4 linked regions of the Lonchura striata genome follow. The protein of the gene in region 2 interacts with the protein of the main gene of each other region in a pairwise test. Links are inferred from orthologs where the notes say so. Each region holds a gene or a part of one and is shown on either strand. Other genes may lie near its edges. The genes, in order: PIM1, EGFR, STAT2 and PDGFRA.

Region 1 (7,613 bases), on a different chromosome or scaffold from region 2:
CAAACAAACAACAAATTTATGAAAATAAATTAACAAAAACTGGAAATGAGAAAAAAGGCAAAATGTTATCACTATTCACAACTGTACATCAAGCTTTGCTCCTGTAGAACTATGTACACATTTACAGCTGTTGGTTTGCATTGTTTGTGCATTCGTGAGGGCACAGAGAAGCAAAGAACCCCAGAAAACCCGTGTGGGATGGAGGCACAGGAGGCGAGGCATAACCCACTTGGTTCCCAAGCATCTTCTCACCTATTTCCTTTTTTAAAAGAGTAAAGGAACTATAGGCCCAGGCGAGTCTCAGAAAAGCAGCACTGTAGGAAAAGTCAAGTCTTTCCTCCAGTACAGCTCAGATCAAACAGAAGGCACACAAGCATGGGGACAGGGAGAAGGGACAGTAAGAAGGGACAGCCACTTTGCCACAGGCCCTGCCCTCCCCACAGTTTTCCCCCATTGAAGCTTTTCTTGCAGTCAGGTCATCCAATTCAGCAGGTCAAGATGACACTTGAGAGCCTCCAAAACCAGTCAAAAAAAAATTATTGGTAAAATCTCAGAAGAGACAAAGTCATTCAGATGGAGTCCAGGACAGCTGGCTTGGATGGTGGCTACTGGAACTTGGAAGAGCAGGTCCTCAGCCCAGCTCCAGGGCAAGATGTGCACGTTCCCATCTGAGAACATCTGAGGATCCTTGCTCATCGCTATGGTCAAGATGAAAAAGTCTGGTTTTCTTTGCTTCTTATGACCAGGAGCTGCATGCAGCTGTTACTTGTCAGGCTCCTGGATCAAACTGTGCAGGTGGATCTCAGCTGGTTCCAGGTGAATGTCCTGCAGCCAAGAATGGTTGAAAATGTCTTCCAACGACGGCCTGTCCGAGGGGCGCATGGACAAGCACCACTTGATGAGGTGCTGGCACTCTGGCAGAGACAGCAGCAGCAGGGTCAGTCAGAGCAGGCTCCCGTCCACCCTGTGCCACCGCCCAGTGCCCGAGCTGTGCCCAGCCCTCCCCATCCACCCTGTGCTTGGCAGCAGAGCAGGCTGGCAGCACATGTGCCACCTCCTGCAGCCACCCAGGGCACATGAGGGCCCTTCCCTGCTGCCTCCCCCAGCCCATCACCCCCGAGCCGGGTACCCACCGAGAGAGATGCGCCGTCGGAAGAAGAGCTGGCCCCGGATGATGTCCTCGTCCTGCTCGAAGGGGACGTCCCCACACACCATGTTGTAGAGCAGGACGCCCAGCGACCAGATGGTGGCTGAGTGGCCGTGGTAGCGGTGGAAGCGGATCCACTCCGGGGGGCTGTACACCCGCGTTCCTGCGGGACACGGGAGCTCATCAAGCCCTCGCCCGAGCATCCCTGGGCGTCGCTGGCACCCGGCGTGACCCGCCCGCCTTCCCGCCAGCACGTGACTCTTGTTTACAAACTTTGGGTTGTAAAAGGGAAACGCCGGTGCCAGAAGAGGGCAGCAGGGCCCGGGGAAGGCCCGGCCGTTACACGCGAGGAAAAAACCCACCTACGGGTGGGGAAAAACCACGCCTTTCCCCCCCTCCGCGCAATGGCAAAAAAAAAATTAAAATTATAAACCAAGGCAAACAAGGGGAGAGGAGAAGCCCCAGCCCTTCCGCACCTGTAAAGCAACCCGGCTGGTGCTCGCGTTTTGCAAACCCCCCCTCTGCTCCCCCACAACCAAAGTGTTTTTGTCATGCTGGCTTCCCCCGCCCCAGCCCGAGTCAGGCTGGGTGACGGAGGCTGTCAGCAGGGCCGGGAGCCGGCTCCCGTTTCACAACATCCTCCCCGTGCCAAACAGCAACTTGGCAGCAGCTGCAGAATTCATGCCGCCCCCCCCGCCACGGGGAAACCTCCGGAGCCCGGCCCGGCCGCGCAACGCCCGGCACCGGGAGCGCACCCGGCTTTGGGCTCACCGTCAAACTGCGTGTAGAGCGTGTCCTTGAGGAAGGTGCCGGAGCCGAAGTCGATGAGCTTGAGCTCGCCCGTGGCCAGGTCGAGCAAGATGTTCTCGTCCTTGATGTCGCGGTGCAGGACGCCGCAGTTGTTGCAGTGCCGCACGGCCTCCAGCACCTGGCGGAACAGCCCCCGCGCCATCTCCTCCGGCAGGAACCCCCGCTCCGTGATGAAGTCAAAGAGGTCCTGCGACGACTCCGGACGCTCCATCACCACCACGAAGCTGTCCGGGAGCTCGAACCAGTCCAGGAGCTGGATGACGCCGTGGAAGCCAGAGCCCACCTTGTTCAGAAGCACGATCTCCAGAGGCACACGGCTGCCGCTGGGCTGCGGGGAAACCACGCTGCCATCAGCGGGGCTCAGCGAGCCTCGCCCGCGGCAAGCCCTGGTGTCCCCATCCCCGCACCCACCGGTCGCGGGCATCCCCCCGCCCAGGGGATGCTCCGGTGTCTCCCTGCCCGCTCCCATCGGTCCTGGGCATCCCGGTGTCCTCCCGCCCGCCCCCATCGGCGCTAGGCATTCCCCGGCCCGGGCTGCGCCGCGTCCCCCGGTGACCCCACAGCCGCTCCCCCCGCGCCGTCCCGGTTTCCACCCTCCCGCGTCTCCGCTCATCCCCGCCCGTCACGCCTCGGGTTCTCCCGCTGGCCGCGCTCACTCACCAGCTCGCCCCACTGCGAGATGCGGTCCCGGGCCACGCGTTTGATCGCCACCTGCGAGCCAAGGGGAACGGCGGCATGAGCTCGGCGCCCGCCCCGCCGAGCCCCCTCCTGCTCCGCCCGCCGCCGGCCCCGCCACTTACCGGGGCGCCGTCCGAGAGGCGGATCCCCGAGTAAACGCTGCCGAAGCCGCCGCTCCCCAGCAACGGGCCCACCCGGTACAGCTGCTCCAGCGGCTCCTTCTCCTTCCCTGTGGACGAGACCCGCCCGTCAGCGCTCCGCCCGCTGCCCCGGCCGGCCCGGAGCCGGGACGGGCACCCCCGGGACGGGCGTCCCTGACCTGGCTGTAGCTTGGCGGGGTGCAGCTCCCCGGCGGTCCCGGAGCGGAGATGCGCCAGCGAGGTGATTTTGGAGAGCAGCATCCCGGTGGCGGGGCCGGCGGCGGCACCTGCGGCTCCGCGCCGGGCAGGGCAGGGCTGTGAGGGCGGCGCGCGCGGGGCGGGAGCGGGCGGGGAGCGCGCGCGAGCGGCCGCTCCGCGCGAGGCCCGGCCGCGTGTGGCGCGCGGCCCCTGCCGGCCCCGCGAGCCGCAGGGGCCGGGGGCGGGGCCGCACGCCCCGACAGGCGGGGCTGCGGCGCGGGGCCACGCCCCCTCCGGCGCCCGGCGGCCAATGGGGGGCGGGCGCGGCGGCGGCGCGCGCGGGCCGCGCGGTCACGGGGCCCCGCCCCCGCCCCGCCCCGCCGCGCCGCTGGCGCTTCCCGCGAACCGCGGCCGGCGCGCCCCGCGCCGCCCCGCCGCTGCACCCCCTGCGCCCGAACTTCTCCCCTTTCCAGTAACAGTGGCCATGTGGCCCTTCCAGCTGCGGACTCCTCACTAACATCCTTATTTTTTACGTTCCCGCCCCCCCCCCCCCCCCACCGTGTCTTTTTTCCGCAGAAGTCGCTGGCTGAGATGCCTCCCCGAGTTCCAGAGATAAGATAAATAATTTACTGGATGGAGATCTCTGATTACTCACTCTATTAGCATTTAGAGCAAAGAGCTCCAGCCACTGGGAGCTGAATTATTCCAGACAAAGCCCATCTGGGCTCCTGCTCCTAAGCAAGACCGAAGAGTTCCTGGCATCCCACACATACTTGTGGGATGAATTGCATGAAATCGAATGGGGTTTACTGGAAATACTTGTGAGATCCTGTCCCGTTTAGTGTTAAAAAAAAAGGATTAAATAGAACCAAGATGCACCCCCAAAATGGGGTTTGGAGCTGCGGCCCAACCCTCGCAGTGGCCGGGAAGGACTCGCCACCACCACTGCCGCTTTTAGATTTACCCAGAACGTGACACATCCTCTTTCAGGACCTGAGCCAAACAAAAACTGGAAAATCTACCTTCCGTTTTACCCAGAAAGTGACATTTTTGTTTAGGGAAAAGTGTGGAGAATCTGATGCAGCGCTTCCATTCCTCTTTGTTTAAAATATATAATTATTTAAAAATTTTTTCAATATATCGTTGTTGCAATGCGAGGTGATGCAAGCTGAGAGTGGGGCAGAGGGGCAGGCAGCGCCTTTCTCCTGCCTTATTCCCACCCGACGCCAGGGCATATTTGGGACAACTGGTTCTGCCAGTCGCTGCTCAGCCGTGGGATGAGGTGACTTAGCATTTGGCCCCGAACTCATTATCAAATTCTTTGCCAGGATGATGAAAGGCACCGAAGGAGCTGCCCTGGAAACCTGTTGACAAACAGCGTTCGCCCGGAGCGGCCGGGCTTTCCCGGGGGCTGCCTGTCCCTGACTCCTCGGGAGAAGCAGCTCTGCCCAAACCTGCTCATTAGCGTCGGAGGGAGCAGCGTGGCCTGCAACCGGGATGAGCTGGGGCCCAAATCATCCTCGTGCGTAAACCTGCCCAGCTGCTCCTTTGCCCCTGAGTCAGCGGCCGTCTCTTCCTGCTGGCACGCAGGGGTTGGGTCCCCTTGGACCGGGGAAACCCCTCCTGGCAGCCGAGGGGAGCTCCCTGCTCCGTGGCCTGGCCGCGTGGAGCTGCGAGGCAGCCACGCTTCCCGGCCAGATCCATCTCTTTCCAGATTAACCCACCCAGGTGCATTCCTGTTCCCGAAATGACCCCAAAGCAGGGCCAGGAGTCACCCTCAGCCCTTTCCACATGCTCACCTTCCCCCTGCCAGCCCGGGCGAGGCCATGGGGATGTGTCACACATTCAAACTGAAATGAAACAAACCCCATCCTGTTGCTCTCACCCACTTGGCCCTCATCCCTGGGGATCCCTTCTTTGCCCAGCCCTCTTCCCCTGGCACGAAAGCCGCCGAGGATGGTGGGTGCAGGGGAGCAGCCCACATCCACAGCACGCCCTGCCCTTGCAGGGACACGGGGATGTCCTGCGGGTCCTGCCCCTGTCCATCCCTGGAGCAGCCCCAGTTCTTGCCCTGAGCCCTCGGGGAGCAGTTTGCAGCCCAGAGGAGACTGCGAGGCTTGCAAGGAGGAAAAACCCAAACAGGGCCATGCCTGGGGAGAGACAGGACCCTGGGGTGGCATATGGAGCTGATGGCAGGTCTGGGGGAGAGGAGCTCCCAGCAGACATCAAAAGATCGGTTCTGAGCCCTGCAAACAATCCCGGCAGCTTTCAGGCTCTTCAGCGGCATTCCAGTCTAACCGGGGCTGCCTTGCATGATAATCAGGCTTAATTACTGCTTTATCGCTTGATTGCTGTGCTGGGCCCTTGGAGCTGCAGTGTTGCTTTCGCAGTTTACTTTTTGTATTTCTTCCCCCTCGCCTTCCCCGCCAGCACAATTAGCAAATGGGTGAAAACGGGGAGGGCCAGGGCGGTACCCAGCAAGGAGAGAGAGGCTCCCCAGGAAGGCCTGGGGTGAGGGGTTAGCATTCAGGTTTGCACTGATGTCCTGGAACAAAACAGCAAGGTCAATGCCCCGCCGGGAGCGCGGGGAGAAGCCCCGCGAGCATCCCCCGGCGGATGCGGGGCCGGGAGGATGCGGGACTGGGAGGATGCGGGACTGGGAGGATGCAGGAGCAGGAGGATGCGGGATCGGGAGGATACGGAGCCGGGAGGATGCCGAGCTGGGAGGATGCGGGGCCGGGAAGATGCAGGGGCAAGGAGGATGCGGGAGCGGGAGGATGCGGGATTGGGAGGATGCAGGGTCGAGAGGATGCGGGGCCGGGAAGATGCGGGATTAGGAGGATGCGGGATTAGGAGGATGCGGGGCCAGGAGCGCCGTGGCACACGAGGACCGTGGCTCTCCACCAGCAGCTTTGAGACACTGCGTGACCTTGGCTGAGTCTGCCCGTGGCTCCCGCGCCTCCCCCGGCTCCCGCGGCTCGGGCTCGGTCACCGGCTGGCCCAGGGCGTGGGGCAAAGCCCGGCACCGACCTGCGGGTCCCCGGGGGAAGCCCGAACCCTTCCTCATCTCTTCCCGATGCACCCGGCCCTGATAGAACCCGGAAAAAGGGGATTTGAGGCATCTCAGCAATGCCCACTCCCCCACGAGGAGGGCACCGAGCCCTTTGCCCACCCAGGGCTTCTCCCAGCCTGGCAGTGGGAGCCCTGAGGGTAGTTGGGGAGTGAGGATGTTCCCACCTACCCGCAGTGAGCAATCCCCGGTGGCAGAAGCCGGGCAGCGGGCACTGCCCTCACCCAGCAGTGTGTGCCACGCGGGGTGCTCAAAGTCACCCCACAGCCGCAGCAAGGTGCTCTGGGGTCTCACACGTGGAATCCAATAAAACGTGTGCGTGTTCCTCGTGTGGCAGTGCGGGTCGGGGACATCCCTCAGGATGAGACTGATCCCGGGGTGCAGTGTCCCCCCGAGGGAGAGAGGAGGGCTGGGCTCCCGTGGGTTTGGATCATGAGTGCTGGGAGCCACTGAGGCACAGGGTGCTGCTTTCCCTCCCCTCCTCATCCTCAGGGTCCCCCCAGACCCAGCTGGGACCACAAGGCAGCGGTGACAGCTTGGGAGCCACACCCCACATCCTGGGGCACAGGGAGGAGAAACATCCTGGCTGGACTTTTTGCTGCAGCTCCCCAAAAACCCCCTCAGCCAGCACCCAGTCCCAGGATTTTGGGTGTCAGCTCCCACTGGACAGTGATGGGACCTGAGAGTGGGACAGGAGATGCTGAGACCCATCCTGTTCCCTGGGCAGGAGCAGCCGTGGCAATTTCTTCTTAATAATTGTAAATTTTTGGGTTTTTTGTTTTGTTTTTGTTGTTGTTGTTGTTTTGTGGTTTTTTTGTTGTTTGTTTTTTTGTTTGTTTGTTTGTTTATTTGTTTTTTGTTTGGTTGGTTTGTTTTTTCTTTTCCTTTTTTTTGTGGTTTTGGGTTTTTTTGGAGTTTTTTTTTTGTATGTTGGCTTTTTCGCGGGCTTTTTGGGGCGAGGTGTGCGGGGAGGCGGCAGCATGGCTAATCTGCTTTGTGAATAGAGCCTCACGGGGGGCGGCGGAGGGGATCGGGGAGGTGGAAGGAGCCGCATATTTGGGATTCCATCATCTGGGTGGGCTCCTTCTCCCCAGACTCTCAGGATGTGGGAAATGGAAGATGAAAGGAGCTGCATTTCCAGCCTCTCGGGTTACAATGTCTAAAGCAGAAAAGGGTGGTTGGGGAAAGAAAGAGGAAAAAAAAAAAAAGAGTTGGAGGGGGGAGTGGGATGCTACAGGGAAACCTGGGTTGGGAAATGGCCCGGGTAGGTTGGGGCAGGGAAGGGGGCGGCTGGGGCCGAGCCGCTCGTGTTTCACATCACGTCAGGGCTGAGGAATTTCCTCTGCTCTGGGGGTGCCTCGCAGAGAAAAAGGGGGAGGCTTTAAGGTTAGCTGGGGATGAATAATAGCCAAGAGAGGGATTAGAAGTGTTACCCAGGGGCTGCTGTTTACAAGCAAACCCTCCTGCCGAGAGCAGCAGGGGAAAGTGGGATGCACCGGGGTGATGGTGGGGTGGTGGATGTGCCACCCACATCCCTTCCCCGAGAGCACAGCGGGGTGATCCCCCTCAT
Region 2 (7,276 bases):
CAATCCACAAAGACTCTAGATGTCTACTTGTAGGCATCTGTCACAAGTAAGCATGGAATAATACACAGTGCAGAAACTACAAGACAATACTCAATATAAGTACACACACAGCCCACACGTAAACACTGCACAGGATATTAGACAAAAGTGTTTTACTTCACATGGACATGAATACTTGGATACCCTTAAAGAACTTAGTCCTTTGTATAAGACTCCAGGTACAGAAAGCTACCACAGTCCACCCTGGCAGCTCCCGAGCCGCCTGGCACGCCTGTATGCACACTCCCGACACGGAGCTGCACACTCCCATCCCACAATGTCTGCAGCTACAGATCAAAACTAGAGATATAAAACCAGTATATAGCAACAAAAAGCAATTTGCTGGACCGTAGCACTGTCACCGAGCGCTGTCACACAAAGGACACGGGTCAAATGCAGCCAGCATAAGTGGCATGCCAGCTATCACAGGTATTTATCTCAGGTACCACAATGCAGGCCTCCCGGGATATATCAGTGGAAATCCAGATTAATTCTGCTTCACATAATATGGGTCAACATCAGAGCAGGTATATAGAGGTGGGTATTGATCCCTGTGCTGAGAGTACTTCACTTTTGAGCAATGCTGTTTGGTTCTGGAATATGTTCAACTAGGCTTCTGTTTGTATCTTAATGACTACAGTGTTACAACAAAAACAGGTTTCTCTCATCCATCTTCAAGAACATTAATTCTACAATTTTGGGAGAAGACACAATTGTATTTAAATTTCCATTCAAACATTATGTTGATTGGATTTTATAGGCTGATTCTGATGTTCTTCTAACAGCTGCCCAGGCATCTTTTTTTTTTTCAAGACATGTCATTTTGGTAATAGAACAAATCAGGTCAAAGTTTTAAGAAGTGTCTTTTCACATGAGATTTGAACTTGCAGAAGTGTTCCATATATTTATGACAGCAAGTTTCCTTTCAGCATTTTTCTGAAATCTGATGCTAGGTCTTATCATTTGACCAAGGAGGCAGTCCCAAGCATACACTGATCCTCTACTACCTGCTGGACCTGTTGCTTCAAATCAGTAACACTCAATTCTCAGATGCTGCTTCATTTTGTGCCTCTGAATAATTTTCTTGCTTATCTTCAACTGTGGGGAGAAACTAATAACTCAAATCAATTGATTAATGCTTTCTGAAGAAATCTTCTGCTTCCACCTCTGCCACTGAGCATCCAGCTCAGTTCCTCTGGTAGAGGACCCAGTTACTTGCGGACACAACATCCTGAGAATAACCTCTATTGGATTTATCATGTAGCCGTTGATGATTTAGTAATCCTCAAAAAACTGGCAACCTCCTAAGTTTATGAGACACAGAATTAAACATTATAAACAAGGTATTTCTCCTCACTCTTAATATATTATACAGGGCATGTGCACCTGAGAATGCATCTCAAAAGACAGGCAGAGCAGATGGGAGGCACTTTACTTCTCACCAGCTTCAAAGAGTGAGGAAAAATAAATAAATAAAAAGAAAACCAGGAAAGAAAACTGCCCATGTTACATCTACAACAGGTATGAACTTGATTTCTGGAACAAGAGAATCTTTCCACTTTTTAAAAGTTGTGCAACTAGTTCTTTTGGATGGGGTGTTCCTCACTTTCAGGGTGGCTTTACCATTCACAGTCACAAAAGACTCTTAAGTTGCTCTAAGCCATGCAGTGGCTTCTAGAAACTAATAGTTCTCCCGCTTTTTCTTTAAAAAGAATGAAAGGAAAAAGAAGAAAAACCAAACCACCCAAATCTGCATTTTTTCCTCTGGCTGGCAGATTTCCAAGATAAAGAGGACTGCTCTCCGGCTGGAACAGCAGCCGGGGCCTGCTCTCCAAACTTAGAAAAGAGAACACCACACACAGAGAAAATGCGACGGGTCTGACCAGCCAGAAACGGCTTCTCATCCTCTGAGACAGCTTCTCCACTGAAGAAGGAAAACCCAAGCACCCGCGGCAGCCCCACGCCCCTGCCCCACAGCCAGCCCCGCCGAGCTGTTCCCACGCACCGCCGGCACGGGCGGGCAGCGCCGGGGCTGGCAGCGCCGGCAGCCTCGGGACGGGACGGGACGGAGGGATTAATCCCTCCTCTTTCTGATAACCAGAACCCACACAAAGTTTCCCTTTTTTTCAGTCACCTCCTCCCCAGGTGTATACTTTTTTCTATTATCACTATGACTATTTCTGAACAGGACAAGCGGAGGTGTCCGGGTCAGTGCGACAGCGGGTTACCGGAGCGGCGCTTACTCGGGAACCCCGCGGCTTTTCCTCGCCGCCCCGGTGCAAGGGAGCCGAGAGCGGCTGTGCTGGGCTGAGCCGGGAAGTGCTCTCCGGGGAGTGACTGGGAAACGTGGGAAGGGGGAAAGAAGAAAAAAGAAACACTAAAGAAGCACAACCGATGAGATGTGCCAAGGCTTATTCCCTTTTATTTCCTCCACCCCCACAAAAGAAAATAAACCAAGAATCAGGAAGTCAGGGCTGCGTGATCGCTGCTATAGGTTTAGTCTTCTCCCCGTTTCTCCCCTCTCTCTGTTTTTGGGGTGGGTTTTTTGTTTTGATTTGTTTTTTTTCTTAGGGAAATAAGTAGTTGGGACTTTCCCTCCGCCTCTCCCCACGGGAGGCCGCGGAACGCAGCCGCCCGCAGCGCCGGCTCTCTGGTCCCCCAGTACGCAGCTAGCAAAGGGCGGCGGGACCCCGCTGCCCTCTTCCCCCCGGCCCCCTACCTTTCTTTCCCTCCACGGCAAGGCAGAGAGCGAGGCGCCCCAGCAGCAGCACCAGGACAGCGGCGCCGCGGGGCCCGGCGGCAGCGAGGGGGCTGCGGCCGCCCATGCTGCGGGACCGCCGCTCCCTCGGCGCAGTGGCTGCGGGTCGGACGGGACGGGCGCACGGATGGTTCCGCGGAGCCGCTCCTGCTCCCCTCTGCTCTTCTCCCGCGGCAGCGATCAGCTCCTCTCCGGCGCTCTGCCCTGCGCGGCTCCGAGCAGCATGCTGGAGGGCGGCCGTCGAGGTCTGCGCGCACACGTGCGTGCCCCGCTGCGGACGGGCTGCTGCCTTCCTCCTCCTTCTCCTCCTCCTCCTCCTCCTCCCACCTCTGCTCCTCCTGCTACAGGCGGCGGCCGGTGCACAAGGGCTTGCGGAGCGGCTGGAGCCGGCTGTGGGACGGGGTGCGCCCGGCTGCGCTCTCCACTCGGTCGCGGAGCGCAGGGGCTCCCTCTGGGGACGCCAAGGAGGAGGAGGATTGGGAGGGAGCAAGGAGGAGAGGGGAGGAGAGACCGGCAGCGCCGGCCCCGTCGAGGTGGAGAAGAGGCGGGCCCCCCACCTGTCCCGGAATATAGGATGAGAGTAGGTGGAAGCGGGGACGAGACAGTTTAGCCGTTCCTCCTTGCTCGGCAGGGTGTGTATGTGCGGATTTTCTACTTCCCGGCAGTTTCTGCCCGGCAGCTGCCAGAGGCACGAGCGTGCATTTGCGGCACAGCTCGCAAAAAAGCGGAGTGGCGCTAACGCAGCTTCTGCCTTCCCGTGTGCTCCCGCCCGGCAGTCGTGGAGGGGCAGAGGGTTACAGCAGTGCGGGTGTCCCGGGGGAGGTCGCAGCAGGAGCTCTGTCCCGTCCCGTTCCTCAGGGAGAACGGTCCCCCCGCAGCTCCAGTGGGAGCAGTGCGGGCAAGGGAGAGCTGAGGCGCTTTACCGGGAGCAGGGAAGCAGCTCCGGAGGTTCGATCCACTCCCCAGGGGCGCATCTCCGGGGCTCCGGCCCCATTTCTGCCCCCCGAGATCAGCGGAGCCCACTTGGCCTCTGCGAACAGTCCTGCTCTCGTTCAGGTCATTTTACTCCCAATACTTGTAAGGCCAAGTGTGTGCGTGGAATAAAACAGCTCAGTTTTAATGCGAATTTAGCACAGGGGTAACAGGGTCCCTGTCTGCCCGTACCGCTTCTGTTCCCCGGCCACCAGCACTGAGAAAGTGCTCCTTGCTCCGCGTAGCAAGTTACTTAATAAACACAAAATAACACAAGTGTTCCTGAGGTGCTCCAAGTACATCCACAGACATTAAGCAAAAGAGTATGGTGCTCCTTTCCGTCAAGAGGAAAACCCAAGCTATTCAGGATTCATTAAAATATTCCTATGGTTTTTTAACAGGCTGTTTCTCTGGAAAGTGGGAGGAAACACTGTCTTGTCACTCAGGTATGTAAATAAGACACAGACGTGCCATTTGTCTGGGTTGGAGTTTCTCCGAGTAGATCATGATTCAACACTCAAACCTGCTGAATACCGGTGGTAATTTCTTCTGAGGGCTCTTCTGAGGGCTTAGGTTACACAGTCAATAGGATATGAAGACTTAAAACTGCTGTGATTAAGTGGGAACTCCGGCACTAAAACCAATAATGACATGAGGTTCGGGAAATTCCGTGCTAAATGTCTGTGTCTGTCACAGGGTACTGGAGCACAATAGATTGCAAAATAGTCACTGAGTGTACCTTGACTTTTCTCTGTTATGCATGTTTCTTTGAGAGATCCATCACCCTTCTCCTACCACTCAAATTCTTCTGAAAAATCTTTTTTTTTTTTTTTCTGATACTTTAACTAGCCGCTCTCCTAACTAGGCATAGAAAACTACCATCCCATTTACACATCCTAGCACATGCCTGGCCACATGCCTTTAATCGTTTACTAAGATGAGTTGCATTACAAGACTGCTTTCACATTCTGTAACTGACATTCTGGTTCAATTATATTTTGTAAATAATGTGGAAGGTGTACTTTGAAGTAAACTCACACATTAACAACATCCGAGAAGCTCTATTCATGTGATTGGTTTCATGGCTGTAACTGAGGGCAGAACCTTAGCTTACAATGCAATATTAGTACAAATTTATTTCAAAGATTCTCACACAGTGCAACTTCATATACACTATGTGTATGTGGTTCTTTTTCATTTATTTAGACAAATAGGAGGATCTTTAAAAGTGAGAGAAACCTAGGAAAAAGAGATCAACTTCTAGGGAGGGAAGATTTGCAGAGCATCCTCAGCACACACTAATGATTACAGCTTGCCTTATGATAAAGGAAATGCAATTAAGACAAGCAAGAAATTGACTTCAAATCAGTTCTGCAGGTAAGTTAAAAAGTGCCCCTAGACATGCACACTGGGTATCAAGCTACCAATATAGAAGGTAATAGGGTTTTTTTAATTTAGAGAAAGAGAGGATTCAAAGTGACAAATGAAAACCAAACTAAACATAGGGAAAAAAGAAAACATTTTTGCATGTGAATTCAGTGGATAAACTGGTCCAAATCCTGTCCTAACATGTTGAGGAACAAACACTTGTTTTGCAGAATTTTTGTTATTCTACTTGATATACTGGGCAGGAACATTTCATACTTGCTTCACCCTCCATCATGTACTGCCCTTACACAAACACACATAAATTCAAGTATTCGATACTAACTAAACACCTCCTTCATTGCTGACATGGTGAGCAAGGAGAGACTAGGCAAATGCCCCTTTAAATCTTTTTCCCAGGCTTCAGATACCCACTACAGGAGACTCTCATCTGCTGCTGGCAGTGCAGTACTGCAGAAGGGGCTGCACAGCAAGCTGCTGTAAATTCTGTCCTCCCACCTTTGTGAGCACAAATGTGTTACTTTTGAGGCATTGTACTCTGCTTGACAAGGTCACAAGACACATAAAGGAACTCTAAGACTAAAGTTTGAGAAGCTTATCACAGGCAGGAATTTCAGGCCTTTTTTACCAACTGAGCAATTTCTGAAATGGTTTAAATTCAAACATGACATTTTCCCTAAACAGCTGGTCACATACCCAGTGACTGCCTTTGGTGTAATTCCTCTGAAGCAAACATGAATTTTACCAAGGGCATTCAATATTCATGTTGCAAAATTTTATTGCTGGCTGCATGTGTGCATGGATCAAAGGTTATGGAACAAAGGCCAACCTTTTGATCACCAATTTTTCAATTGACAGTTCATAATGAAAATACTAAATGCAACATCTGTCTTCAGCTTTCTTTTGATTTGCTTGCTTTATAGTATGTGTGTGTATATATATGTATCATGTCTTCTATATATTAAGCATAAACATGCTGACCTGTGAAGTGAAGATGGTGTAATCTGGTAATTTTTCCACATGAACATGCTTCTGGATTGCAAAATTTGACTCACCGCCACTTGCCTGCTCCACTGAGCTGGTTACTTTGCCACACATGGAGAGAAGTAGCTGCAAGAGGATGAATAACTGATTTCCCTATCAGTGGAAAAAGCAGGATTAATTCTTCTATCCCTTCCACATTTCCTCCAAACAAAATAGAGTTTCAAAACCCTCTCAAGAGTTAAAAAATCCCTGCTGCTGGATCCTTTCCTTACATGAAAAAAAAAAAAAGGTTGCTTTTCATTATCCACCAAGAGTGGGTCAGCATTTGCCCCGCAAAAAAATTAATCAGCAACCATTTCTCAATGGTGATGCTGTTCTTCTCTGTAAATAAGTGGTGAAAGTGGTTTTAAAGTCAGGCCTTTTACTGAGAGACAAGAAATGGAGACAAATTAGCGGAGTTTTACAATCTGGTTTGCTCAGATTTTGCATGTTGTTTGAGATTGTTGACATTGTATTTTGCATTGTAGTTTGTATTCTATGAGTGCTCACTCAGGTTTTAAAGCAAGGGCTGAGATAAAAATTCATAGACCTTTATGGCACTTTGCATGTTGAAAATATTGCACACACATTAAGTAATTTATCTTTGCAAATCTCCTGTAAAGCAGGTTAGTACCTATCATTTCCATTTTATAGATGTAAAATAATTTGCCTTGGGCGGAGCTTTAGTGGTAGAGCTAGGGTTATCACTCAAGAGCTCTATTTAAACCTTGGATCATGCTATTTCTGAAGAGTGTCCCCGATGAAAATAGATGGATTTTTACACAGATTATCTTTCTCTCCTCGCTTAACACTATTTACAGAATCACAGAATATGCTGAGTTGGATGGAATGCATCAGGATCATTGATTCTAACTCCTGGCCTTGCACAGGACACCCCAAGAGTCACACCATGTGCCTGAGAGTGTTATCCAAAAACTACTTGAACTGTGTCAGGCTTGGGGCTGTGACCACTTCCCTGGGGAGCCTGTTCAGTGCCCAACCACCCTCTGGGGGTAAAACCCCAAACCTTCCCTGACACAACTCCAAGCCAGTCCCTCAGGTCCTGACATTGGTCACCACTGGTCACCACAAAGAAGA
Region 3 (7,124 bases), on a different chromosome or scaffold from region 2:
TCACCCTGTCCCTGAGAGCCTTCTCCAAATGCACCTTGAGGTGGGAAGGGGCCCCCAGCAATCCCTGAGTCCCAGGACACCCCCAAAACCCCTAAATCCCAACACCTGAGAGCATTGTCCAACCTCTCCCTGACCTCTCGAATCATCCAGAGCTGGAAGGGACCCATCAGGATCAAAGTCCAGCCCAGCACAGGACACCACAAACTTTCCCCCAAAATCCCTGAGAGCACTGCCCCGACCCCCCCGACCTCCTGAATTACACCCAGAGCTGCGAGGGACCCACCAGAACCCTTGACCCCAGCTCCAGGCCCTACACAGACACCCCAAAAATCCCACCCTGTGCCTGGGAGCGTTGTCCAAACTCTCCCGGAGCTCTGACAACCTCGGGACCGTCACCACTCCCTGGAGAGCTTCCCCAGCGCTCAACCACCCTGGTGGGGAGGATTTTTCCCTGATCTCCACCCCCAGAACCCTCCTGGCAGCGCCGCAGCCGCTCAGAGCCCAGCTCACCTCCTGAGCAGGTGCGTGAGCTGCTCCTGCAGCCGCTGCTGCAGCAGGGGCGTCTCTGTCACCAGCGGGTCCCTGGCGTAGGTCACCTTCTGCCGCAGGTCGCCCAGCGCCCGCAGCAGCTGCCGCAGCTGGAACAGCCCCTGGCCCAGCTCCGTGAACCTGCGGGGGTCAGGGAGCTCGGAGGGGTCCGGCTGCAGCCCCCCACCCCGAGCCCCCCGAGCCCCCCAACCCTACCAGGTCTCCAGCGGGCGCAGGTTGGTGTCGCCGGGGCCCCCCATGCACTGGCGCTGCTGCCGCGCCCGCCAGTCCCCCAGCTCCTGCTGCAGCAGCTCCTGCAGCGTCTCGCTGCGCCTCAGGAGCTGCTGCATCTGAGCCAGCACCTCCTGGGGGGAGACGTGGCTCTCAGCGGGGTGCACGGTGCCCCCCCAAAACCCAGCCTGGCCGCCCCGAGCCCCCCTCACCTTGCGCTGCTGGTCCAGGTTCTTCAGTTTGTCCTCGAGGGATTTCAGCTCCTGCATGTACTCGGGGTCCCCGTTCCTCTCCCCATCTGCGGGCAGGGGAGAGGGCTCAGGGTTTTGGGGGGCTCGGAGGGGGCGCAGGGCAGTGCCCACCCCCCAATCTCCCCAGCGTGGGGCTCACCTGGCTGGTAGTGCACCTTGAAGCAGAAGTCAAAGGCATCCTGCAAATCCTCCAGGTGCCTGAAGGCTCGTTCGGCTTCCTGCGGACACAGGGGGGTCAGGAGGGGCCGGGCAGCCCCCGGGGGGCTCGGCGGGGGTCGCGGGGGGTGGCGGGGGGTTACCTGCAGGGCCCTGTGGAAGTCGCCCAAGCGCTGCTGGATCTGCTGCTCCCGGCCGTTCTCCGGGGCTGGGGTGGGCGCGGGGGCCGAACCCCCCTAGGCAGGGAGACACGGGGTGTGGGGCAGCGGCCGCGGGACCCCCGGCGCCTGTGGGGTGAGGCGGGGGACCCTGCCCTGCCCTACCTGCCCCCCCGCCTGCCCCAGGCGCAGGATCCGCCGCTCCTCCTGCAGCAGGTTGGCCACCAGGTTGGCGAACGTCTCCGGCTTCTCCTCGAACTCGGCCTGCGGAGGGGCTTGGGGGGGTCAGCGCGGCGCGGAGACCCCTCCCCACCGCGCCCCCCCCGGCCCTGGAGCCCACCTGGAGGTCGCGGTGGGCTTTGCGCAGGTTGTGCTTCAGCATGAAATCCTCGCGGTCCGAGCCCAGGCTGCCCAGGCGCTCTCCCAGTAGCACCAGTAAGGAGTGGAACAGCATGCGGGCGTGCGAGCAGAGCGGCTCGGCCGCCTGGCGCCTGCGGCAGCGCGGGCTCAGCACGGGCTCAGCACGGGCTCAGCACGGGCACGGCCCCGCCCGTGCCCCCCGGAGCCGCCCCCAGCCCCGGATCCCCCCCCCCGGTACCAGTTCTGGCTCTCGATCCAGGCGGCCAAGGACTGCCGCACGGCCATGGGCAGCGCCGAGCCCGCGTACAGCTGGTGCACCTGCTCCAGGTAGGTGTTGGCCAAGCTCTGCACCTCCTGCCACTGCGCCATGCTGCGGGGACAGCGGCTCAGCGGCGCCCCGGGCCGTGCCCCGGCCGCGCCGGGACCGGAGGAACACCCGCGGGCGCCAGGTGGGCACCGCTGCACCCCACGTACCTGCCTGCAGCACAGGACCGGGGTCCCTCTGCTCCTGCTCGGTCCTGGGGTCCCTCTGCTCAGTCCTGGGTGGTCCTGGGGGTCCCTCTGCTCAGTCCTGGGTGGTCCCGGGGGTCCCTCTGCTCCTGCTCGGTCCCTGGGGTCCCTCTGCTCAGTCCTGGGTGGTCCCGGGGGTCCCTCTGTCGGGTTCTGGGTGGTCCCGAGGGTCCCTGTGCTCGGGTTCTGGGTGGTCCGAGGATCCCTCTGCTCCTGCTCGGTCCTGGCTGCTCCCAGGGGTCCCTCAGCTCCTGCTCGGTCCCTGGGGTCCCTCTGCTCAGTCCTGGGTGGTCCCGGGGGTCCCTCAGCTCCTGCTCGGTCCTGGCTGATCCCTAGGGTCACTCTGCTCGGGTCCTGGGTGGTTCCGAGGGTCCCTGTGCTCGGTTCTGGGTGGTTCCGAGGGTCCCTCTGCTCAGGTTCTGGGTGGTTCCGAGGGTCCCTGTGCTCGGTTCTGGGTGGTTCCGAGGGTCCCTCTGCTCGGGTTCTGGGTGGTCCCGAGGGTCCCCCTGCCCCGCCGCAGCCCCGGCAGCTCCCGCTGGGGTGGCCGCGGACCGGCAGCCGCGTCCTGCGGTGGGAGCAGGGGCTGAGCCGAGGGGGGCTCCCCACCCGGGGCGGGGGGCACAGAACGCCCACAGCAGGGCCCCCAGCCCCCCTTCTGCACCACCCCAGGCCCCTCCTCAGAGACCCCCTAGACCGGACCCCCATGGGACCCCTCGGGCGCCCCCCGGGTCCCCCCCAGTGGGATGGGTGTCCCTGACCGCCCCCCGCCCCAGCGCGACAGCCTTCCAGGGGACGCTCTGTGTGCCCCAGCCGGGGTCCCCGGCCTGTGCCCCCCTTCCCCGGGCTCTCCCGGGCTCCAGAACCGCCCGTGTCCCGCCCCGGAGTGCCCCGGGACCCCCGACCCACCTCCGCCGGCACCGGAGCAGGAAGGCGGGCTGGCCACGCCCCCTGCCAGCTCTGCTCGCTGATTGGCGGAGAGCGGCGCCGAGGCCCCGCCCCCGCGCGCGGCGCCTCTGGGCCCGTTTGTTCATTTCCCCAAATTTACGTCACGCGGGGCGGGGCGTAGTGGGCGGGGCTAGTGGATGGGTGTGACCAATGGGCGGGCTCAGTGGGCGGGGCCAGCGGGGAGCGGGGGCGGGAACGGCGGCGGCGCGGGATGGGCGGGGGGACCGGGACAGGGACGGGGGGACCGGGATGGGCGGGGGGACCGGGACAGGGACGGGGGGGACCGGGACAGGGACGGGGGGACCGGGATGGGCGGGGGGACCGGGACAGGGACGGGGGGACCGGGATGGGCGGGGGGACCGGGACAGGGACGGGGGGGACCGGGACAGGGACTGGGGGGACCGGGACAGGGACACCGGGGACCGGGACAGGGACTGGGGGGGACCGGGACAGGGACGGGGGGGACCGGGACAGGGACGGGGGCGACCGGGACAGGGACACCGGGGACCGGGACAGGGACTGGGGGGGACCGGGACAGGGACGGGGGGGACCGGGGGACCGGGACAGGGACGGAGGGGACTGGGATGGGCGGGGGGACCGGGACAGGGACGGGGGGGACCAGGACAGGGACGGGGGGACCGGGACAGGACACAGGGGACCGGGACAGGGAGAGGGACGGAGGGGACCGGGATGGGCGGGGGGACCGGGACAGGGACGGGGGGGACAGGGACAGGGACTGAGGGGACCGGGACAGGGACGGAGGGGACCGGAACAGGACACAGGGGACCGGGACAGGGAGGGAGGGGACCGGGATGGGCGGGGGGACCGGGACAGGGACACAGGGGACCGGGACAGGGACACAGGGGACCGGGGGACAGGCTGCAAGGACAGGGACGGAGCTATAGGAACAGGTTATAGGAACAGGGATAGAGCCCTGGGGAAGGGAGAGGCCAAGATGACAGGGACAGAGCCCTGGGGACAGAGCCCTGGGGACAGAGCCCTGGGGACAGGGGGAGGCCAAGATAACAGGGACCGAGCCCTGTGGACAGGGAGAGGCTGGAGGGAGAGAGGGAACGAGCCCTGGGGACAGGGACCAGGCAGTGTGGCCACGGGGACTGAGTGGCTGTGGGGCTTTAGGGACAGGCACGGAGCCACCGAGGGACACAGGGACAGGCCCAGCCCAGCTGCCACCACGTGCCCGAGGTCCGGCTGCCCCAGGCCAGGGTGACCCCGCATCGATCCGTCCCCAGCCGCCCCAAACAGCGACCCGGCGCCGGCTGCCACACGTGGCCTTTATTCAGACGATGACCACGGCGCCGCTGTGGGCAGTGGGCACCGGCGCGGGCTCCCCGGCCGAGGTGAAGTACCCGACGAGCGCCCGCACGCCGGCCTTGAGCCCCGGCTGCAGCCCCAGCTGCACCCCCAAGGCCACGGGACCCCCCAGACCCCCGGTGAGCGCGGCCAGCCCGGCGTAGCCCAGCTCCTCGGCGGCCTGCAGCGCCCGCGTGGACGCCACGGCCTCGCAGCCCTGGAAGGCGAAGTAGACGCTGGTGCCCAGGTTGTAGAAGACGCTGACTCCCGGCACCCAGTCCAGCACCCGGTGGGCTTCGCGCTCCCCCGCCGGGCTGCAGGCGTCCTCGTCCTCCCGCCGCCGCCGCGCGGCACCGCGGCACGGCCGGACCCCCGCCAGCTCCCGGCCGGCCTGGCCCAAGCGTGGCGTGGGCTCCGTGCCGGGCGCGGGGCTGCGGGCTTGGGTGGGATCCACGCAGGCGGAGCCCCCCGGCCGTGCCAGGCTGAGCAGCAGCAGCGCCAGCGGCCGCGGCGCCCGGGCGCCCGGTACCCGCGCCAGCCCCCGCAGCAGCGCCGCGGCCGCGGGGGTCCCCAGCTCCCGAGCCAGCTCCAGCGCCTCGGCCTCGGCCTGGGGGGCACAGCCGGCCCCGCGCAGCGCCAGCGCCAGGGCGGCACGGGCCAGGCCGCGGGGCAGCGGCGGCAGCCGCGAGAAGCCGGGCAGGGCGTCGGGGAGAAGGGTCTGGCACGGCACCCCCGGTGCCCGCGGCGCGACGGGCTCCGCCGGCGCCGGCAGCGCCCGCTGACCGGCAGCCGGCCCAGGGGTGATGATGGACACGGCCGTGGCACGGCTGAGGATGAGGAGCGGGAGGAAGAGCAGAACGCGGGCCATGGTGGCGGCTCTGGGTCTGTGGAGGTGGGAGAAGGACAAAGCCCCGTCAGAGCCCCGCGGGCGCAGCCCCCCGTGGCTCCCCCGTGCCCCGGCTCACCCGCTCGCCGCTGTCCCTGCCCCGTCCGGCCGCTGCGGCCGCGCCGGCCCCGTGACCGCTTTATAGCCGCTGTTATCCGGGAGTTGCGACACGTCCGGCGCGGGGACAGGGACCCGGCGCTCCCTGAGCCCAGCGCGGCTCGAGCCCCCAGCCCCCCTGCAGACCCGCACACACCCAAGGAGGACAAAAGTCACTTTTATTTATTTAGGCCCTGTCCAGATTTAAAAAGTTTTAGGAAGGAGAAAAACCCCAACAGCTGAGGAAAAAGAGGAAACTTGGGGTAAAACAGGGAGATGGTGACACCAGGGGAAGTGGGGGAAGGTGGAGAAACTGGTTGCTTGTGCAGCCTTTAAAAACAGCATCAAAACCTGCAGAAGAAAATCTGCAGAAACCCCAGAAAACCTGTAGAAACCCTAGAAAAACTGCAGAAATCCAACAAAATCTGCAAAAAGCCCAGAAAACAGCACAAGGCCTGGGCACCGGCAGGGTATGGGAAGCCACTCAATCCTCTTCCTCCTCCTCTTCCAAGCAGCGGATGCGCTTCCGCCTCCCCCGGGGCTGTGGATCCTCTTCCTCCTCCTCATCCTCCTCGGAGCGGGGAGCTGGTGGGGCCAGCTCGGTGCCTGTGGATGGATGGAGAGGGGAGAGGGCTGAGCCCCCCAGGGGTGTGGTAAAGGGGACAAGGACAGCAGAACCCCGACCCAGCAGACACCTAGAGGACCCTCAGCCCTCAGAAGCAAGCAGAGGGGCTGAACCCACCTGAGCTCCCACCACCATCCTCATCCTCGTCCTCGCTGGCGAGCTCCCGGCGCCTCTTGGTGCGCGGCTGCACTGGGCTGGGGACGGGGACGGGCTCCTCGCTGCAGAGGGTGGCACCGCTCAGCCCCACATGCGGGGGGCCAAATCCCCTCCCCAGGCAGGGAGAAGACCCCCCCAAACCAGGACCCCACAAACGGAGAAGGGAAGTCGGCTCTCACCTCTCCGAGTCTGATCCCAGCCCCGCCGGTAGCGGCTCTGCTGAGGGGCACAAGGAGGGGGGCTCAGAGCCAGCCCCACACCTGGGGGTCCCACACCCCCCCCAGCCCCACCCCTCACCTGGAGCCGGGTCCTGGGGGCAGCTGGGCGGCTCTGACGGGTCCGGGGGGGACCCCGAGGGGCCCCGGTGGGCGATGGAGGCGGCTGCACGCCGGAGCTGCTGCGGGGTGAGGGCGGCCGGGATGCGCCAGAAGGATTCCTGGGCAGAGAGGGGGGACATGGCAGGGCTGTGCTGGGAGCCAGGGGATGGGGACAGGGATGGGGACAGGGATGGGGACAGGGATGGGTGGAGACAGGGATGGATGGGGATGGGGACAGGGATGGGGACAGGAATGGATGGGGATGGGGACAGGGATGGATGGGGATGGGGATGGGGACAGGGAAGGAGACAGGAATGAATGGGGATGGGGACAGGGATGAATGGGGACAGGGATGAATGGGGACGGGGATGGGGACAAGGATGGATGGGGACATGGATGGATGGGGACGAGGATGGGGACAGGGATGGACGGGGACAGGGATGGATGGGGACAGGGATGGATGGGGACAGGGACGGATAGGGACAGGGACGGGTGGGCACCTCACCTGCTCGCTGGCGGGGGGCCGCAGCCCCAGCTGCCGCAGCAGGGCCCGGAAGCGCCGGTCCTCCATGGCATCCTCGTTCTCCTCCGTCA
Region 4 (8,228 bases), on a different chromosome or scaffold from region 2:
AGGAGCGCTAGGGAGCTCGAACATCGGCAAGGGACGCGCCGAAAATACCGTCGAGGGGCGCTGGGAGCGTGCCCCCGGCACTGATGGGGGCCAGGGCATCGCTCCCGCCTCTGGTCCGCAGCCGCCTTCCCGACGGGGTGCGGACGAGCCCCGGGGGCTGGCGGCCGTGCCCTGGGACTGCTGCTGCCTTGCTAGATTTGTCGCTGCTGCTGCAGAAAAAGCCGTCCAAGTCCTGTTCTCTGGAACGGTTCCTGAGCTATGGGATCCGCGTCCAAAAATGTTGAGCAATGCCGTGGACAGCCAAAAAGCCATTTCCTACTTGCTCCTAGGACTTTTCCAGGGGACTCCAGCTTGGCAGAGGCTGGCAAGTTTGCAGCTCTGCGCTTGACAAAATCCAGAAGGTGGCCGCGAAGACTTTGCCCTTCCCGGGGTAGGAGGCAGTGGGGTCCAGCAGTCCGGCAGGGCATACGGCAGGGCTGGCACTCCCGTTGAGAGAGAAGCTGCAGGCTGGAAAGGCTCCAGGTACCAGCCCTGTCTAAATTCAGCATCCTCCCTTTCACCGAGACACTTTTTAAAAAAAAGACGGGGCGCGCAGGGATGGAGATCGGGTCGCCTTTCGGGGGTTGTATGCGTGCCTCCGCTCGGGATCTCGGGCATTTTAGGCTACCGGGCCAGGGGGAGCGAGGTGAGAAAGGGGATCTAAAGGAGGGAAGGTGATGAAAAACAAAGGGTGGGGGAAGGGACGGGAGAGCAGCGGGGTGAAGGAAGCGAGGGATGCGAGAAGAGAGGGAACCGCTTACTTGGTCGGTGCGCGTCCCCGCTTTCCCCCCTGGGGCGGGCACCGCCGCTGCCCGCGGAGCCCCGGCGGGTCGCTCCCGCCCCCGTGGCAGGAATGCGGCGCGGTGGCTGCCGCCGTCCCAATGTGTTTGTCATTAGCGCTGCCCGCGCTGCTCGCCGCCGCACCCCGACGGCCGGCGCGGCGCAGCGCTGCACCCCACTCCCCTCCGCGGGGTCGCCAGCGCCCACCGCCTGCGCCCCGCGGAAAGAAGACCTCCGCTCGGCTCGGAGCATCGGGGGAAAATAAAAAAAAAAAAAAAAAATTAAAAAAAAAACACGAAGAAAACCCCCAATAAATAAATAAAGAAAAACGGGAAAAAATAAACGAGGAGAAAACCGCGGGAGAAAAGGTGTAAAAAACGAAAAAGGTGGGGAAAATGCCCCGCACCTCTTACCTTCTCCTTTACAATCCGCAGCCCCAATCCTGCAGATTGTAAAACATCCAAAATATGTCCACGTCTTTTGTGACTTTCCCTGCTCAGCCGCGCTCTTTCCCTCCCGCTCGCCCTCCCTCCCGATCCGACTGTAATGGTCTCACAAACCGCGTCCCGTAATTGATTCAATGTTATAGACCATCCTTCCAAAACTAATCATTTGCTTTAAGTAAATAGCTGTCAGGAAATGAAGCCCCCCTCAGGCCCCTTCAGAATAAGAGCGTGCTGGCTCGCCCGGCGCCCCCAGCCCCGCGGCCGGAGGCGGGCGCGCCGGAGGGAGGCTCTTACGCAGGCAGGGGGGCCGTCCCTGCCTCCAGATTTCAGCAGCCTTGCAGGGGAGGGGGAGGTTGGCCATATGGCAGGGGCGAGGGGGAGGAAAGGGGGAAGCGGGGAGTTTTGCACTGCAGGGGGAGAAAATGAAAAAAAAAAAAAAAAAAAAAAAAAAAAGAAGAAGAAAAAAAATTACCCAAAAAACTTTCATGAAAACTCAAGAGTGCTCCCAAATTTCATGAATGAGTCTTCCCTCCTCAGACCCTCCAGGACGGTGGCTCGGGCGCCGCGCTCGATGTCCACGCTTACCGTGTGAGTTTATGGATGGGGAGTTTGATTTGGAAACGAATTCGCGGCTTCCTCGTGTCCTTTGTACACCGCTGCGCTCGGGTTTGGGCTAGAAAGCTGCACGGACGGCCGTGAGCCAGCCAGGACCAGAAGGCGCAGAGAGACAGGGGGAGAGACGAATCGCTAACATTTATGAATGAAAGACACAACGAAAGGTAACCTTCGCCAAGAGCCAGCCTCCCCAAAGCCCGCAGCTCCGACGGGACCGAGAACACTCTTCTCTTCGTCTCTGCCTTCGCTTTGCCCAGCTCAAACAGACCCCAGTAATAACCAAACCAGGGACACGACAAGAGCCGGAGGTGCCGGCAGAGGCGCGGGCAGCGCACGTCCGAGCCCGTCCTGTTTGAACACGCTCCAGACGGAGCTTTGATCCCCGCCGGGGAACCAGCACTGGGTATCTCTGCTCTGCTGGCCGTCGCTATCACTGGCGATAAGGGGTGGCCGAGGGAGCTGCCGGGGAGCTGCCCTCGCCGCCCTTTTGCTGCAGGCTTCGTGCGGAGCGAGGCGAGCGGGGCCAGCGGGGCGCGGCGATGCGGCGGCCGCGGGAGAGGGGGCAGTGCAGCCCCAGGAACGGAACGGCGAGGATGGAGCCGGTCCCTGCTCGCCGCCTGCCTTCTGGGGAGGGCACCAGCCCCACAGCTGTGTGCCGCGGCTTCTCCCCTTTCCTTCCTTCCCCAGTCCAGCACAACCACCACCCACACCTCTTTCTCCCATTTAGTATTAAACAAAAATTTCGTCTCGAAGTCAAGAGCCAGGACCCCGTGGTTTTTTTCTTTCCTAAGCGAGGGAGAGTTCAGCCTCTGAAACGAAGATGCCCTAAAGAGAATAGAGGCAGAAACGAGAACCAACTCCCAAGGATGCGCGCTCAGGGCTGAGGTACCCCTGTCTGGGCTCTCAAGGTTCCCGGCGGCGCTCCCGGCCCTTTGCACGCCCTCCACTAGTGCATCCTCGGCTCGGGTGAGTGCACAACCCCGCTATTGCTTCCACATGTTCCTCCAGGAAATCATCGGAGTCAGATCTATGAGCAGACCCTGGTCGGAATGCTAACAGGATACCGTAAAGCTTGTGAATAAACAACAGGCTCGCAGTGAGTCAAAAAGGCATGGAGGAAAGGAAAAAAAAAAAAAAAAAAAAAAGGCCAAACCAAACAAACAAACAACACAGGAGAAAAAAAACCCACACCGTACCCTGGAATTCTCCATCTGAGAGTGCGAGAGCACCCAGCATCCTGAACCCCTTAATTTGTAGGGGGAAATGCTTTATCATTACTTGGATCAGAGCTGCGGGCTCTCGCAAATTTAAACCCCTCAAAGATGAGCATCAACTGCCTATGCGCCGGGGCGATCCTGCAGGGCTCGGGCCGCGATGTTACCGGCGTGAGTGTATCTGGTTCAACACGCGGGGTGATTCCTGGCGAAATACCATCAGGATGGGATGTAATGCGAGAATTACTCTTTCGAAAAGAAAGGAGCAAAATGGAAGGGGAGGAGGCGCCTTCTGGTTGCAATTACCTGCCTCATTTGAATAATGCCTTTGTCACGATCATTATCGAGAGGTCGTTAACGGCTTCCACGTGGGATCTCACAAGACCCAGCCAAAAATAAAAATTTTAAACTAGGCGACTGGCAAGGCTGCCTGCTAGGCCAGTCTGGCCCTTCGGGCGGGGGCCCGACGGCTCTGCGGAAACAGTGGCGGAGGTGTACCGTCGCTCAGGCACCCTTCCGGGGAAAGCTTTCCCCGACGTAGCTTTCCCTTCCCCACGCCCGCCACCCCAGGAGCACCGAGCCGGCGGGAGCTGGGCTCTGCCCGCTCCTCCCTCAGGGAGAGGGATCCGGCGGTGCCTATGGATTGGTCCCGCGCTGGGGAGGTGGTAGTTAAAATAAACCCTCCAGGACGGCTGCTGAGCTCTGCCTCCCGCCCCGTGTGGTGCAGGGGGGTCCCGTCCACGGAGGCGAGGGGGACATGGGGTTAGCGAGAGGACAGGCTGGGGGTGGGGGATTTTTTACATCTCCCCTGTCCTCCCGCCTTCCCCTCCCCTGAAGGGCTGGAGCATAAAGCATCCCGTTAACGTGTGTTTATGTGGTACCAGATGGAAGCTGCACGTCTCAGACGAAGTGCGGCGCCCGTGCTAGAGCCGCTCTCGCCTGTTTATGCTGCCAACCTGCCCCCCGGGGTGGGCGGGTGTGTGTGTCCCCCTCCCCGGGCCCGCGGCGCCGTCAGAGTCCGGGCAGCGGGAGCACCGACGGCTCGGGTTATTGCGGGGCGGGTCTCTCCACTCTCAGACGCTTCCAGGGGGGCTGGGAGCCTTCGAGGCCCCTTTCCCCTCTCCCTCGCTCAGCATCCCCCTCCCTGGAGAAATCACAATTTGTTTCAAGTAATAAAGCGTTTCCTGCGGCTCTCTCCCAAGGGTGAGCCGGCAGCGGTTAACTGGTTAAGCCTATTGAACAATCTAATAGGTGGCTGGTGTGGCCACCAGCGGGACCGGGCAGGCGAGCGAGGGTGCCCCGGCCCGGGCTCCGCTGGAACACCCGCTGAGGGGCCGCAGCCTTTTGACTGGATGGGAAGGCTTGTCTGGGTTTAATTATCGTTACCCACGTTCAGCGGTGCACGGAGCAGTAGTCATCCTTTTTTTCCCTTTTAGAGCAGGAAGCCCCTGCGTGAAGAGCAGCTACAACCTGAAGCAGAGACCCCTCAACCCCTGAGAGAGGGAGAAAGCAGAGCAGCCTCACATCTGTGTTCACATCTATCGCCTAGGAAAGAGAGTACAGCGGTGAAGGCTGCCTCGCCTAGGAAGGCGAGCTAAGCTCGGAAACTCCAGGGGCCCGAGCCCCTTCGGGAAAAGTGTTCTGGCGGTGGGAGGGTCTTGTGTACATTTACAGTCCTGCCAGATTTTTAGATTTTTATTTATTTCCATCTTTCCACGAGTACAGATTCCCTCATTTTGTTTGTTCAACAAAATTTGGCTCTGAATAGCAGGGATCCCGTGTCACTGGGAGGACAGGCAGCCAGACAAAAAGAAATTAACTTTGCCCAGCCTGCCCTCCCTAGCCTTTATTTTTATTTGCCACATGGCTGTTCGAGGTAGTTCTCCGTACTATCGTTTTCCTTCCCCATGCCCGCCGTTTCCCCACCGAGGCCGCTGCTGCCACGACGTCGAGCTGTTTTGCTTTCATTGTTGCGTTTGGCTCTCGACATTAAAAGACGCCAAAAGAGCCGTGGACGCCTTATTCTTTAAAAAACAGACTGTTTTCCCTTTTGCTCCCGCCCTGACTTTTTTGACTGCGACAGAATAAACAGCCCGCTGTGGTCCAGAAGCAGGCTGGACGCAGTTCGGGGGCGAGGCCAAGCAGGGGGGAAAGGGGCTGGTACCCGCCTGGCCCTTCGCCGCGCCTGGCTCCGCGCCCCGCCCCGACCCCCGGGCGGGGAGCGCGGCCCCGGCCGAGCCGCCGCCCCGACGGGAGGGGAGGCAGCGCGGCCGGGGTGCCTGCAGCGCCGGCCGAGGGCGCGGGGCAGTGCCAGCGCCCCCGCGACACTAGAGGGCACCGGAGCCCGCGGGAGCGGCGGCCGAGCCCGGCGCGGCACCGCGCCCCGCCAGCCGCCGCTGCCTCTGCGCTTCATCACCGACCGGGCGGCTCGGAGAACATGGCGAGAGGCGCCGTCCCGGGAGCCTGATGGCTCCAGCCCTGTAGGGCCGGCCCGGACCCGCCTCAGCCGCTCGGGGGATGTGGCAAGCAAAGCAGAGAGATAAATTCCTCCCGTGCCACAAATGATAAGTTTTCCCTCTGAAATCAAAGGGTCGTCTGCTGATTCAGCCCAGGTTTGACTTCGGTTCGTAACTCCCGAGACCATTATCTCTGCCTTTGTTCTTTCGAGCTGCAGCAATTAATGGATTACAGCAGGACAAAACCACAGCCAGAGCAAGCTGCTTTCGTTCTGCAGCTATTTACTATTAGTACCAGCTTTGCTCCCCTCGGGCTACTGTGCTTGGGAACCCAGCCCTGAGTTCTGCACGGGGGAGCCGCATGGTATGGAGGCCACCCTGGATGTCGCGGCCGTGGTCACTGCGACACAGTGGGCATGTGCCAGCGTCCGCGTCTGTGTCGGTCCCCGCGTATGCCTGGGCTGCTCCCGTCCACCATACATTCCTACTGTGGGCACTGAAGAGCCAAGACAGGCTGAGCATCATAAAGTGTCAGACTGAGGAGAGAAACACATCTGTTACTGAGTACCCGGAACCCCCTTGTTCCAGGCAAGGGATGTCATTTTTCTGCTTCATCCAACAACAGGTTTTCTTCTGATACTTAGTGATAAATACACACCTTTGGGGTGATTTGCTGTGGAAATACTGGAGCTACAGCCAAGATTAATGAATTGTAATTAGGTTTCTAAAAGGATCCCTCTCTTCACCCGATCTTTCATGCTCCAAAATACCCCTGCAAACAAAACCTTGTCCCTCTATTTCTGTGGCATGGAGTGTTTCTGAACATGGATCTTCCCCATCCCAAGGACTGAGATGATGGAAAGGCATTAATGCTTCCTAAGAGCTTGCTGAATTGGGGTTTGTGTGGAGCCACCACTAAGAGTTGCAAGAGACAGCATCCATGTTGTTGAGTCAGCAAAAGGTTCCAGACCTGGAAGTAAATGTAGGCATTCCTCTTAGTCACTGAATTTGTTCAGTCATTTTACTCAAATTTACCAAGATTATGCTGGAGGTATGTCAGCAGGAGACATGAATCACAAGTTCATTCTTCTTGCAGCACTGTTTGTCCCCTGTACTCAAGGTTCTGTGGCCCTAATCAGTGATGGAAGGAATCAAGCAGGCACCAATCACACCTCAAGCCATTCAAAGAAGTAGCCAATGCCCATGTTCTCATTTTTCTTTCTTTAGTTCAGACACAGGAGAGACTGAAATATTGAAATGTCAAGGGAAACAGTTCCTCTCTTTTTTTTGTCTTCTCCAAAAGACTATTTGGCCTTTTTCTCCAAGATCAACTTGTTTTAGTCTGTACCTCATGTAATTTGCAGAGAGCATTTTCTGCCTCAGTTACATAATAATTTGCCTGTTTGTTGTTGACAATCCTTTAGAGAACTCAGTTATATGCACTCCTCTTGAGCAAGGTGGTCTTGGAGAGAGAAGTGAGAGTGTGAAATGAGAGGAAAATGCAGGTAAAGGTTCCTGTGGCCATGCATGTGAAGCTACAGTTCAGACTTTGACAGGAAAGCTCTGATGTGGCTCAAGAGCAGAGGATACAGCAGCATTTAGTTACATTATCATCCTTATACTGATGGCTTTTTTTAGCCAGATATTTTGCTTTTTAATCTAATTATCTTTTGAGAATGAGTATAATGTAGAAACTGGGCCAGATCCTGCTTTGTGTAAACCTGGTGTAACTAACTTCAAGGGAAACATTCCAGATTGAATCTGGTATAATTAAGATTAAAAACTGGCTCTGGAAGTCTTTTCTTTGGCAATAAAGTTAGAGAAGTTCTGCAAAGAAAAATAATTAAAACCAGGACTTTATTTCAGTGTTCTTTTAAATAACGTATGCTATAGACGCTTTGAAGGCATTTGTTCTCTATGACAGCAGTATTTTAAAACTTTCACTTAGGTTCCACTGACCAAGTTAACCCTTGACAAGCAACTCTGCTTAAAATGTTACGTACAGAAACTTTTAATTTTGCAGGACCCTGCCCAAACTAAAAACAAATTATATTAAAAAGATACGAGTGCTGCTGTGGCAGTTGCAGACTTCTGCTTGCTGTTGAAGTAATGAATTTCACTGTTCTAGCCACAACACAAGCACTGAAATAATTCTGAATTTACACCTTATTCAACATGGGGTTTTTTTATGGTGCACACCTTGTTACCTGTCTGCTAAGCTCAACACATTGAGAAGGAGCAATTGTCAGGTTCCTTAGTATCCCTGGAAAGCAACCTCTGCAAGGAGTTCCTAGAGGATTGCTGAAATACTATAAATTGCTACACAATTTTCTGTAAGAAAACCAGATTACATTTAACACTTTCTACGTCCACTGTCACTGCATTTGTTAGGCCCATGCCCGTCAGAGAAAATATGTCACCATAATTTGATTGCAGGTGATGAGAAGATGCTGATCAATTTTTGCTAGGTCTGGCTTTAAGCCCCAGTGAAATCACAAGGACATTTGTCATTCTCTTGGCTGGCCCCAGGTTTTCATCATGGATTAATCAGATGTCTCTTTAGGGCGTAGAGGAAAAGAAGGTGTGAAGGGGAAAGAGTAATTTCTCTTTGATTCCTTGTGGGATACAAAAAATATGTATTTGGAAAATGTATTTTACTCCTTTTAAGTGGGGTTAGC

The links.
Region 1: the proteins of EGFR (region 2) and PIM1 interact in a protein complementation assay, tested with the Homo sapiens proteins (3 studies listed by BioGRID and IntAct, with this or other methods). The link is inferred for Lonchura striata from reciprocal best matches to the Homo sapiens genes EGFR and PIM1.
Region 3: the proteins of EGFR (region 2) and STAT2 interact in a protein complementation assay, tested with the Homo sapiens proteins (3 studies listed by BioGRID and IntAct, with this or other methods). The link is inferred for Lonchura striata from reciprocal best matches to the Homo sapiens genes EGFR and STAT2.
Region 4: the proteins of EGFR (region 2) and PDGFRA interact in binary tests that used the Homo sapiens proteins (3 or more experiments, as listed by UniProt). The link is inferred for Lonchura striata from reciprocal best matches to the Homo sapiens genes EGFR and PDGFRA.

What each region holds. Positions count from the first base shown.
Region 1 is NC_134632.1:1,741,155-1,748,767, reverse strand, and holds the start of PIM1 (serine/threonine-protein kinase pim-1), read right to left. Parts: upstream 3,037-7,613; coding exon 2,758-3,036; intron 2,669-2,757; coding exon 2,618-2,668; intron 2,286-2,617; coding exon 1,919-2,285; intron 1,311-1,918; coding exon 1,134-1,310; intron 915-1,133; coding exon 763-914; 3' UTR 1-762. UniProt on the Homo sapiens protein: Proto-oncogene with serine/threonine kinase activity involved in cell survival and cell proliferation and thus providing a selective advantage in tumorigenesis.
Region 2 is NC_134603.1:105,542,103-105,549,378, forward strand, and holds the start of EGFR (epidermal growth factor receptor), read right to left. Parts: upstream 3,235-7,276; 5' UTR 2,865-3,234; coding exon 2,759-2,864; intron 1-2,758. UniProt on the Homo sapiens protein: Receptor tyrosine kinase binding ligands of the EGF family and activating several signaling cascades to convert extracellular cues into appropriate cellular responses.
Region 3 is NC_134629.1:5,609,323-5,616,446, forward strand, and holds the start of STAT2 (signal transducer and activator of transcription 2), read right to left. Parts: upstream 3,136-7,124; 5' UTR 3,101-3,135; intron 2,760-3,100; 5' UTR 2,159-2,759; intron 2,055-2,158; 5' UTR 2,054-2,054; coding exon 1,923-2,053; intron 1,816-1,922; coding exon 1,665-1,815; intron 1,589-1,664; coding exon 1,490-1,588; intron 1,403-1,489; coding exon 1,310-1,402; intron 1,229-1,309; coding exon 1,150-1,228; intron 1,058-1,149; coding exon 972-1,057; intron 894-971; coding exon 745-893; intron 670-744; coding exon 511-669; intron 1-510. Other genes in the region: APOF (apolipoprotein F), read right to left, coding at 4,437-5,318; protein timeless homolog, read right to left, coding at 5,917-6,038, 6,175-6,275, 6,393-6,432, 6,511-6,649, 7,036-7,124. UniProt on the Homo sapiens protein: Signal transducer and activator of transcription that mediates signaling by type I interferons (IFN-alpha and IFN-beta).
Region 4 is NC_134606.1:26,992,116-27,000,343, reverse strand, and holds the start of PDGFRA (platelet-derived growth factor receptor alpha), read right to left. Parts: upstream 3,107-8,228; 5' UTR 3,092-3,106; coding exon 3,077-3,091; intron 1,455-3,076; exon of another isoform or gene 1,233-1,454; intron 1-1,232. UniProt on the Homo sapiens protein: Tyrosine-protein kinase that acts as a cell-surface receptor for PDGFA, PDGFB and PDGFC and plays an essential role in the regulation of embryonic development, cell proliferation, survival and chemotaxis.